Linked DNA regions of Arabidopsis thaliana. The protein of the gene in region 1 interacts with the protein of each later gene in a pairwise test. Each region holds a gene or a part of one and is shown in the gene's direction. Other genes may lie near its edges. The genes, in order: AT5G49540 and AT3G02420.

Region 1 (4,458 bases):
CTAATTTGTTCCTCATTATATGTATCTCGAAGAACAAATAATAATACAAATAAAAGTGATCAATGGCTCTGTTCTATCTTCTCTCTGTCAGCATGGACGAGGTTCACTCAGCATGTCATGATTCTGAAAATGGCTTACCATCGAGAAGACCAGTGATCGAAATGACTATTCCATCCACACTAGACAACACCATTTCTCCCCCAGGTACACATTCTCCCCCTTTTGCTTGTTTAGGATTTGAACTCTGAATGTGATTTTGTATGTAGGGAAGCATGTAATCAACTTGTTCATCCAGTACACTCCTTACAAGCCCTCAGATGGAAGCTGGGAAGATCCTACTTACCGAGTTAGTTTGTTATACACGCTTGGCTAAACATTCCTTTACACTACAAGACATGCCAAACCCATCTGGATTTGCTTTTGCTTGTGTAAAAATCAGGAAGCCTTTGCACAAAGGTGTTTCAAACTGATTGATGAATATGCACCCGGGTTTAGCTCATCCATCATTAGCTACGACATGTTGACTCCTCCGGACCTGGAACGGGAAATTGGTCTAACAGGTATATAAAGTGAAGTACTTGGAGAAAGATCCCAAGTACATGCGACATGGCCAAACCATATTGACATGACTGCCCATTTGTATTCTGCAGGCGGAAACATCTTTCACGGTGCCATGGGATTAGACTCTCTCTTCCTGATGCGCCCTGTGAAAGGATGGTACGTGACTCCGAAGTACTCAAAACAGTCTTTACGATTTATGATTATGAAATTCAAAACTTTGTTGGACTGTGTGAAACAGGTCAAATTACAGAAGCCCTTTGAAAGGTCTCTACTTGTGTGGCAGCGGAGCTCATCCTGGAGGCGGAGTTATGGGTGCACCTGGAAGAAACGCTGCACATGTTGTTCTTCAAGACTTGAAAAGAATCTAGCGAGTATAATCTCAGACTGTGCAATGTTAACTCTCATGTGTAAGTTGTTTGTTACTGCTCTGAAAACCTCTGTCGTAGGGAGAGGCTTACAGACATGGACAATAGTTGATATCAACGAATAATAAGCCTCCACGTGTAGCTTAACCTAAATATCACTAATTCAACAAATATGGAAAGTGCCCTAAACAACAGAAGAGCCATTGTTTATTTGTCTTTGTCTTTGTCTTTGCGAAAAGAAGTAAATATCCTCATCAATGGCGGATTCACGAGATGATCTAGCTGAATCGCTACAAAATCTATTCACGAGTGTTTCATCTATGGTCAAATCCGAGCTCCAGGTGAAAATCAATCCGAAATTTTACAGATTTATTTGTTTCCACAGATCTGAAATTGAATTGGATAAAAATAGGGAACGAACAACCATCTAGATCTATTGGAGAAGATGAACCTGAGAGTTGCGTCAGAGTACGATGATATGGGTGACGTGGCAGCTGGGCTCAGAGTTTTCGCAGAACAGATGAAATCAAAAAGTGGTGGCTTGGATGAATTTGTAGGACAAATGGATGCTATCGAGAAACAAGTGTCGGAGTTTGAAGCTGTGATCTCTGTTCTAGATCGATATGTCTCTGTCCTAGAATCTAAAATCCGAGCTGAGTATCGTCATCCTCATCATCAGCGTCGCTCTAATGATTCTGTTGTTACAGACTGATGCATTGTAGCAATAATTAATTTTTATCATTACTGAGATTGTTGGAATCGAGATCTGGAATGCTATTTTGGTTTTAGTTGATATTGAAGCTAGATACGAATACGACGAATGATTTTGTCTACATTCGGTTTAAGTTTAACCAAAACTGAAATTTGCATAAATCAATCTGGAACCAAACCAAACGAAAAGCACCTAAGTTTTTTTTTTACCGCTACTCCATATATAACCATTTACCGTACTTACTAATGCATTGGTTAAGTGTTTTGTTAAACATATTAAAACCTCCTAAGCAAACAAAACCAAACCGAATTAATTTCAGTTTGAATGTAATAGCGATGGTTTTATAAAACCAAAACTTGGAACAAACTGAACTGCTCATCTTTAGTAGTAAGTAACGAATTTTCATAATCACAAATTGTGATGTATAATCATGTTATCCGTTTCAATATCAAGAAATTTAACTAGCATAGTTGGAGAGTGTTGTTAATTTTGATTAGTAGTGGACAATCCGGTTTAAGGTTTGGTTCCGGTTCGATTTTACGGTTTATATATTACTTGTTTTCTCTGTGTTTTTCTTTTGTCTAAAAACACTCTAAAGAACTTAAAGATATTCGTCTGATTGTTCTCTCTCAAATTGGCTCATCCTCTCCATTCAATTCATCCCAAGTACCAAAGCAAGCTACTTCGATCTTCCTCTTACTACTCTCGTTTCTAATTGTAAGTCTATATCAATTCCTTTTCCAAAGTTTGTGTAGATCTCAAAGTAGTAGATCGGAAGAGATCGATAAAACCAGATCGATTAATCATAGTTGCTCCCACTCTCGACTACTTAAGAGATAATCATAAAGTCTTAACCTTTAGGAATCGAAATTTATTGTGATGCTTAGATAGCGAAACCCAGTTATAGAATCATTGAATCAATTAGAAACCCCTAATTTTCCTGTGGAAATTTGCTTAAAATCAATACTTTTTTGGGTTTGTAATCTATACACTTACTCTATGATGTCCAAGTTCTTCCTTTTTTGTTACTGTAATGTAAAATCCAATACAAAGATTTGAAATTTATGTTGTTTCAGATTGTTGTTATCTTAAATGGGTTCATCTGAGAAGAGATCAAAGGATATCATGAGTGACATACCAACTTTCAGTGCAGAGAATTTGCAGAACAATTTGAAAGTCATTCAAAACAGGTCTGATTCAATACAATTCTCTCTCTTTCGTTTTCTTAAAAAGATGATGGTTCTCGGGTTTTTTGACTTGTTATCCCTCATTTTGTTCGTGTTTGCAGCCGGACGTTTCTGTCTATCATAGCTGGTGTCTTAGCAGGAATAATTGGATTCAATGGCTTGATTGGTTTTGTATTTTACTTTGTGGTGATGTTGATCACATCTGTTGGGCTCATGGCTAAGGCAGGATTCTCAGCTGACTTGTACTTTGATTCGTGGAATCGGGTTCTTTTTGACGGTTTTCTTGGTGGCCTTATGGTATATCTTCATTTCCTTTTCTTATTACATTGTTTGTTGCTTCAAGATACATGTTGTTGATCCAACCTGTTAATCTCATACTAATCGCGGTGTTGTTTTCTTTTTCGCAGTCGTTTGTGCTGTTCTGGACGTATCCTTAAACTCAATTTGGTGGTCATACTCATTTTATGATAATGTGCAAAACTAAATCAAAGGTTGATTAGCTTTATGGAAAAACATCTATGGTATGGTGTAGGTAAAAATGATTAGCTTCTTAAGAACCTGTGATTAACATAGAAATGGCCTTTTTGTTTACTTCGTGTAGAATCAAGTATATGCGCAACTCGAAAACAGCTCTCTCTATTCTCTGTTTGTCTCAGTAGGTTTCCTTAACAATGGAGTAGATTTGCGTATGACTTGGTGCACATATTCTGAGGGAACTTCTGCTCCAGATGAGGATGGTGAAACGGCACACAAGATTGAGTTCGGGTTTTGCAGCCTCTTCATCTAAACTGAATTAGATTGACAATGTTTCTCTTGTTCCCTTTTTGAACAACAGTTTATGAGTTCGTATTACCTTTTTTTGTTATTTGAGATCACATCAAACTGTGAAAACCTTTAGATTGAAAAGTTTCAAGTATTTACACTTTCTTCCAATTTCATGTGTTCACATTGTTGTTTTCTTTTTTTTTTACATTCTTGCATGTAAAATATATTCGAATATGCTTAAGATTTCAATAGAGAACATTAGAACACTCTCTGTCAAGTTTGAACTTAGCCGTCTATGTGTATTGTATAGTTCTTTTGTTGCTTCTTATGTTTATTTTCCTGTGTTGGTGTGGCTTGTCTTACCAACTCTAGTTGAGTAATAGAAAAAAGGTTGTTTGATTTCAAAAAGGAAAAACAAAATATGAATATCTCATAACTACTGAACCGTTTACTCATATCAAAATTTATAGACCATTAAAATCTAGTCATGATGATTTAATAAACTCATCATCGAGCTTTCTGTAAAACCCATCCTGAAGAGTTGGTTTCACAGATCTCGTGCATCACCTGTCACACAACACACAGAGTTTAGAGACTAAAACTACGCTTTGGTCGAAACACAAAAAAAAAGTCAAAGAGAGCTCAAGTGAAGACCTTTATATATTCGTTGTTGGTGATTTCACGTTCAAGTTTGGTCCTGCCTGCTGCAAATACCTCAGCCTTCATAAGCTTTGTTCCAGGTGGAGATCCGGTTAAGAGGCTAATGACCACTTCCCTGATGATAAAAACAAAAAAAAAAATCAGAGAAATTAGAGATTCAACCGAAATAAAGAACCAATGTGATCATGTTCCAACAAAAAATAACCTC
Region 2 (5,833 bases), on another chromosome or scaffold:
GAGAAGTGTTTCTGAGGACATTTGCTCCTTCACATTTCGAAGGTGGAGAATGGGACAAAGGTGGAAATTGCTTGAAAACGCGACCATATAGGTATACATTGTTCATCCGACATTTTCTAAAATATTAGTTTCTTCTAGAATACTTTAATATTATGAGTTTTGTGTTTTTTTTGTTGTTGTTTGAGTTTTCATTCGTCACATCCTAATAGAAACGTCTATATATTCCTTTGGGTTTCTTTTGTGTTTATATAGGAGCAATGAGACAGAGTTAGATGGTATGAATCTAGAGACACACAGCATTCAACTCGATGAATTTCGCATTGCAAACAGAGACAAAAACAGAAATGACGGATTAAATTTGAGATTACTAGATGTCACACAGATGATGTTGTTAAGACCAGATGGACATCCGAGCAGATTCGGACATAAACGAGAAGATAAAGTTATCTTGTATAATGATTGTGTACATTGGTGTTTGCCAGGTCCAATTGATTCATGGAACGATTTTTTACTAGACATGTTGAAAAATAGAGATTTAAAGAGATTAAAATACTAGTACGTAGAATCTAAATTTTCTCAGTTAAACCCTTTTTGTTCATTTGTAATTATATACGAGTATGTTTGGTTACGATGTGGTATTTAGAAAGATCTCTTCCCTTTTTGGCACGGTTTTCATAATCAGATATAAGCTTTTAAGTAATTTCAGATCTTAATTAACACATTGAATATTTAATGATATGGATCTAATATAAGTTTATGGTACAAATGAAGTAAAATAGTCAACGTTTTCCAAGTAACATGTCAACCGTACATACATTAATGTATTTTACATCAAAAAGTCCATGCAATGATTTTAGAATTCAAATAAATAAAGTCTATTTGAATTAGGAAAATTATATATATTTGACACAAAATTAAAATTTATTAGTTTAATAAAAAGAATAATGGTCATAACGTATATATACAAATTATACAACTTTACAAACAAGAAAACAAACGAAAATAGTCAACCCACCATGCAAACGCTACCGTTTCTAAATTGGTTTTAATTATAAATCATCGGCGATCTACGCTACCGGTAACAAGATATCCAATTCCGTGGCGTCTCGCCGGAAAAACCATAAACAAAAGGCTACACATAACCCCAACACCCACCGGAACAATGTCCAAGACATGTTTCGTCTCTGCCTCCGGCGACGGATAAAAGCAATCAGTTATATACTTGTCTCTCAACGCAACCGCTCCAAACACTAAAACCGACAACGTAGCGTGGATCCAATCAACGAACCGCATCCGATATTTGGCTAAATCGGGTAAACCTAACCCGGACGGGTCAGGATAGTCAACGACCCACATGCCTTTGAACGTTACGAAACCGAAGTAGATAGTTCCATCGTCGGCTTTAACGCTATCGGTAAAGGAGCTGACGAAGCAAGACGCGGCTAAGAGGAAAAGGAGAACGGCGGTTAGGAAACGCGTTGCGTGGTCGCAAACGCCGTTTGAAGTGAAAACCGGCGTTAGGAGTTGAAACGCGAGGAGTGTTCCCGTTGGGAGTAGGTTTGAGAGATTGGCTGCTGACGTCAGGGTGTTTGACATGGCTCGCTGAGACATTGACATCTGTCTCTTGAGCACCCGGGATTCTGACGGTGTCTGATCGGATAACTCGTCGAGCTCCGGAGCCGGAGTGTTTGCGTTTCTTAGCCGAAGGGCAGACATCTTTTTAGTTTTGATTCTTTTCAGGTTTCGATCGTTGGATTGATATTGGTGAAGATAATGATGATGATGTTTTTTTATAGATGCTACGATATAGAAACAGCTAATGATAACTTAGTTTACGCATAGTGGACTGTCTGTATTTAAGTAATCTCTCTGTTCAGTTAACTTGTACGATAAACAACATTATACACGACAAATAATACAAGACTTTTTAAAGCTTTTAACAAGATAGAACATAATGCTGAAAACAGTGATTGAGCTAGATATAACTGTGTCATATTCTGCTTGTTCTTCGCACGCTAGTCCTTCTCTGTTCTCACGATTTAGGGTTTCTTTCCCAATGCTCTGTTTTGTTCATTTTCTTTCTTTGGATAAATTGCATACAAACCCTCAAAGTTTCCAGTCTTTTGCAAAGTTGTAGTTATTTTTATATTAAATATCATAAACAACTGATTGCCAAAACGTCGTCGCTCTTGCAAAAGTCCACAGATACTAGTAGTAAGTAAAGTATAGGAAAAGTGGACCAAAGAAACAAAACCCATACAAAAAAAGTCGAATCCAAATCTCTCTCTCCGGCGATCTCATCCATGGCGGAAGGCGGCGAAGATTCCCAGCGGTTGAAGAAAATTGCGGCGGCTGCCTTCGACTACGAAAACGACGCTCGATGGGCCGATTACTGGTCCAATATCCTCATCCCTCCTCACATGGCTTCTCGTCCCGAGGTCGTCGACCATTTCAAGCGCAAATTCTACCAACGCTACATCGTACTTACTACTATCTTCCCTACTCTTGAATTTGCTTATCCATTTTCTTCATTACTTTGAGTTTCGAGTTTGACTTTGTGTTGTGTGCGCTACTGATTTGGGGATTTAGTGTGGACTTTGAATCTTAGGTTTTACAAGTGTGGTTGTTGATGTTCTTTCTGCTAAATTGCTTAGTCCTTGGGTCCGAATCTCCTCGTGATTAGGTTATTAAGCGGAGGGTAGGGCTTTTCATTGAATATTCGTTAGGTCCTGTTTATAATATGTGAAGCCTTCGTGTTGTTCATCTTTGCTCTTCCCTATGAAGATGTAATCTGGATTTGTTTCTAAATCTAGGGTGCTTGCCATGTCCTTCTTTTTTGCAGGATCCTGATCTTGTTGTGGAGCCTATGTCGACTTCATCTTCGTCTTCACAATCTGCCAGGCCAACTGCTACATCTGCATCTTCAACTGCATCTTCTAATGCAAATGAACAAGTTCGTTCACGGAACTCAGGTCAACTTTCTTTGTCTGATATATTCTTGAACTCAAATGAGCTTTTCTTATTACTACCAAAAACTTACCTAATTGTGTGCCTCAGGATCGGTTCCTCGAACCTCTGGGCCATCTGCTACGACTGGTGCAACCCCAAGTTCAATGCGCTGGGATGAGCAGACGATTCAGTTTTCAGTCAATGCTTGGGTAAGATAAAGTTTTTCAGTTGCAGTTTCTTCCTCTTATTGCACAAGTTTAATAAAAAGATCTAGCTCTTGTTAGCCCTGTGAGTTGGGATTGTTGTTGCAATCTGCTGTTCACTCCTTAACTTCACGGACAGTAATGAGATGGTGCATAGTGTATTGTCTGTCTTTATGTTCTCCTGTCTTGCTGAATCTTTGTTGTGTACTTAGACATGAACTAGATGTGACAAATGCTTTTTTGTCTGGAATGCTTCACGTAACTTATCTCCCGTTTCATGTCTCTAAATCCATTACATTTTTGCAGGTTTTTGTTATAGCTGTGCTGGCAGTGCTACCTCTAATACCAAAGAACCTCTCAAATAGGGCTTATCGTCTATCTTTCATGGGAACTGCATGCTCATCTCTATATTCCTTATACTCCTTATACGGGGTACGCCATGTGAATTTCATGTTTTCTTTCTCTCTAGTGATCATGCAATGCGAAATTTTTGTTACTTATGAATTGTAATTTTATAATCTGCAGAGGCCAAGGGCATGGAATATGCAAGGGCTGCAAGTTTATTTTCAATCAATTGTGGCAGCAAAGGATTTCATCTACTTCATCTACTGCCTTACATTCGTCACTTCACATCTCTGTCTCAAGTGTAAGAATTTATTGAAAACTCTTTTGTGAATGTCTTCAAATCACGTACATTCTTATGACTAGTCTCATTATCAATCTGTTGCAGTTGCTTTGATTCCCATCTTGTGCCGGGCACTTGAACAAGTAGCCAAGTTCTTGAGGCGTAACTTTGGTCGGTCCACTATATACAGGTAGGTGCATCGAGCTGATTAGCAGGTTTGAATGTAGTAGTAGGTTCCATGTGTGGATTCTTACTGATGCTTATGTTGTACATGTGTCTTGTTCTGTAATGGTTATCAGAAAGTACTTGGAAGACCCTTGTGTGTGGGTGGAGTCAAACACTACTACCCTCAACATCTTGTCATCGCAGGCTGAGATAGCCATTGGCTTCCTTCTGATTATCTCTCTGCTCTCGTAAGCTCTTTGAACCTGTTAGAAGCGATAATAGTTTATTTTCGCACTTAAGTTTATATTCTCACTAAGTTCCCAGCTTTGCATTAGCTGGTTTCACTTATCTGAACAAAATTGTCATTTTACTTACTGCAGATGGCAACGTAACATTATACAGACGTTCATGTACTGGCAGGTACGTATCATCTTTTGGTTGTAGTCATCAGTTCTTTGTGATGGCTCAACATTCCCAAGTAGAACCCCTGTTTTCTTTGTTTAATTTGATCCAAGTGAACATATAGGAAGAATCATTTCCGTAATAACACCTTTTTTGTTGCTTTGATGATCTTCTGTCACTGAAAGTGTTACATGGGCTAAGACCATCAGGATAGTAATGAGAACTGTGTTTTGTTTTTTTTTGGTTAAAAATCTTGTGTTCTTGTTATAAAATCTGTCAAGTTCAAAAACCTTTTCCTCATATTCTTCCTAAAACAAAGATCTACTAGGTTGTTTGCAGGATTGTTGGTTGGATCTTGAGAGTTGTTCTCATGAACTGAGTTTTGTTATTTTGGTGGCAGCTATTGAAGCTGATGTATCAAGCACCGGTAACAGCTGGTTACCACCAGAGCACGTGGAGCAGAATAGGGAGGACGGTGACTCCGATTATCCAACGTTACGCTCCTTTCTTGAATACTCCGGTCAGTGCCGTTCAGAGATGGTGGTTCAGGTGATAAAAAGAAACAAAATGCAGAGGTGACTTTTGAAACCCTTTTGAAAAACCAGAAGATTGATTAAATAGCTTTCAACAATCCATGTTAATTTCATATTCAGCGTAAAGTAGATTCTTCTTCTCTTTTAACGTTTTCCTTTGGCTATCGCTGAAATAAAAATCTCTTATTACTTTTGGTTTCTAGTTTAGTTATATGTGACTAATTGCCTTTCCAGTTTCCACCTTGCCATTTTCATTGGTGAGATACTTCAAAAGTTTCTAAAAAAATAATAATAATAATATTTTATTATGATTTAGTTTCTGTCCAATTATAAACACATACATATACATATAGTCTCTCAATCATTACTCTAAAATTTCTCTGCATAAAAACAATTCTCAATCTCTCTCTTATCTCTCTCATACTTTATTATTATTTTATATTTTTTAGTCAATAAAAAATTATGTGAGAAATTACCGATGAAAATGTTCTAAATTTTATAATATCTGATTCCATGAGTGATTGTAGAACTTTTGCTCAAAAATAAAAATCATCTAAAATATCATCTGGCCCTAGAAAATCGGTTTCATTGTGTAAAATTATTATATATTGAAAGGGTGATTATTTAAAGAAATTATAGTTGATTGGTTGTGAGTCGTTTACACATGTGGATGAGTGTTTTTGTTCGAAAAAAGGAAATCTAAAATAATGTACATTGGGGGGGGGAGAGGAGTATTATTTAGATAAACCAAATTTGGGAATAAGGTATCTTAATCATTGATTCATATTCCCTTCATTGGTGCGCGTGCCACCGCTTAAATCACCGAACACGTTCCCAAAGTCTAGTACCAGCAAGCAATACCACGTGGCGTCTATGCACAACTATACGAAATACGAGTGTCGAGACATCAAACCACCAATAGCGTATTGTGTTCGAACGCAATTCTAATCACAATT

Evidence for each region.
Region 2: the proteins of AT5G49540 (region 1) and AT3G02420 interact in a two-hybrid assay, tested with the Arabidopsis thaliana proteins (2 studies listed by BioGRID, with this or other methods).

Annotation. Positions count from the first base shown.
Region 1 is NC_003076.8:20,103,882-20,108,339, reverse strand, and holds AT5G49540 (Rab5-interacting family protein), read left to right. Parts: upstream 1-2,061; 5' UTR 2,062-2,355; intron 2,356-2,714; 5' UTR 2,715-2,730; coding exon 2,731-2,828; intron 2,829-2,926; coding exon 2,927-3,122; intron 3,123-3,232; coding exon 3,233-3,252; coding exon of another isoform or gene 3,253-3,262; exon of another isoform or gene 3,263-3,505; coding exon 3,506-3,536; 3' UTR 3,537-3,859; downstream 3,860-4,458. Other genes in the region: AT5G49555 (FAD/NAD(P)-binding oxidoreductase family protein), read left to right, coding at 92-204, 267-346, 440-560, 651-717, 800-929; BLOS2 (biogenesis of lysosome organelles complex 1 subunit-like protein), read left to right, coding at 1,184-1,267, 1,339-1,638; AT5G49530 (SIN-like family protein), read right to left, coding at 4,098-4,157, 4,245-4,365, 4,456-4,458.
Region 2 is NC_003074.8:495,243-501,075, reverse strand, and holds AT3G02420 (dihydroflavonol 4-reductase/flavanone protein), read left to right. Parts: upstream 1-2,111; 5' UTR 2,112-2,303; coding exon 2,304-2,480; exon of another isoform or gene 2,481-2,698; intron 2,699-2,842; coding exon 2,843-2,972; intron 2,973-3,057; coding exon 3,058-3,158; intron 3,159-3,458; coding exon 3,459-3,584; intron 3,585-3,677; coding exon 3,678-3,798; intron 3,799-3,882; coding exon 3,883-3,967; intron 3,968-4,076; coding exon 4,077-4,190; intron 4,191-4,322; coding exon 4,323-4,362; intron 4,363-4,744; coding exon 4,745-4,897; 3' UTR 4,898-5,192; downstream 5,193-5,833. Other genes in the region: TBL20 (TRICHOME BIREFRINGENCE-LIKE 20), read left to right, coding at 1-91, 253-556; AT3G02430 (transmembrane protein, putative (DUF679)), read right to left, coding at 1,057-1,716.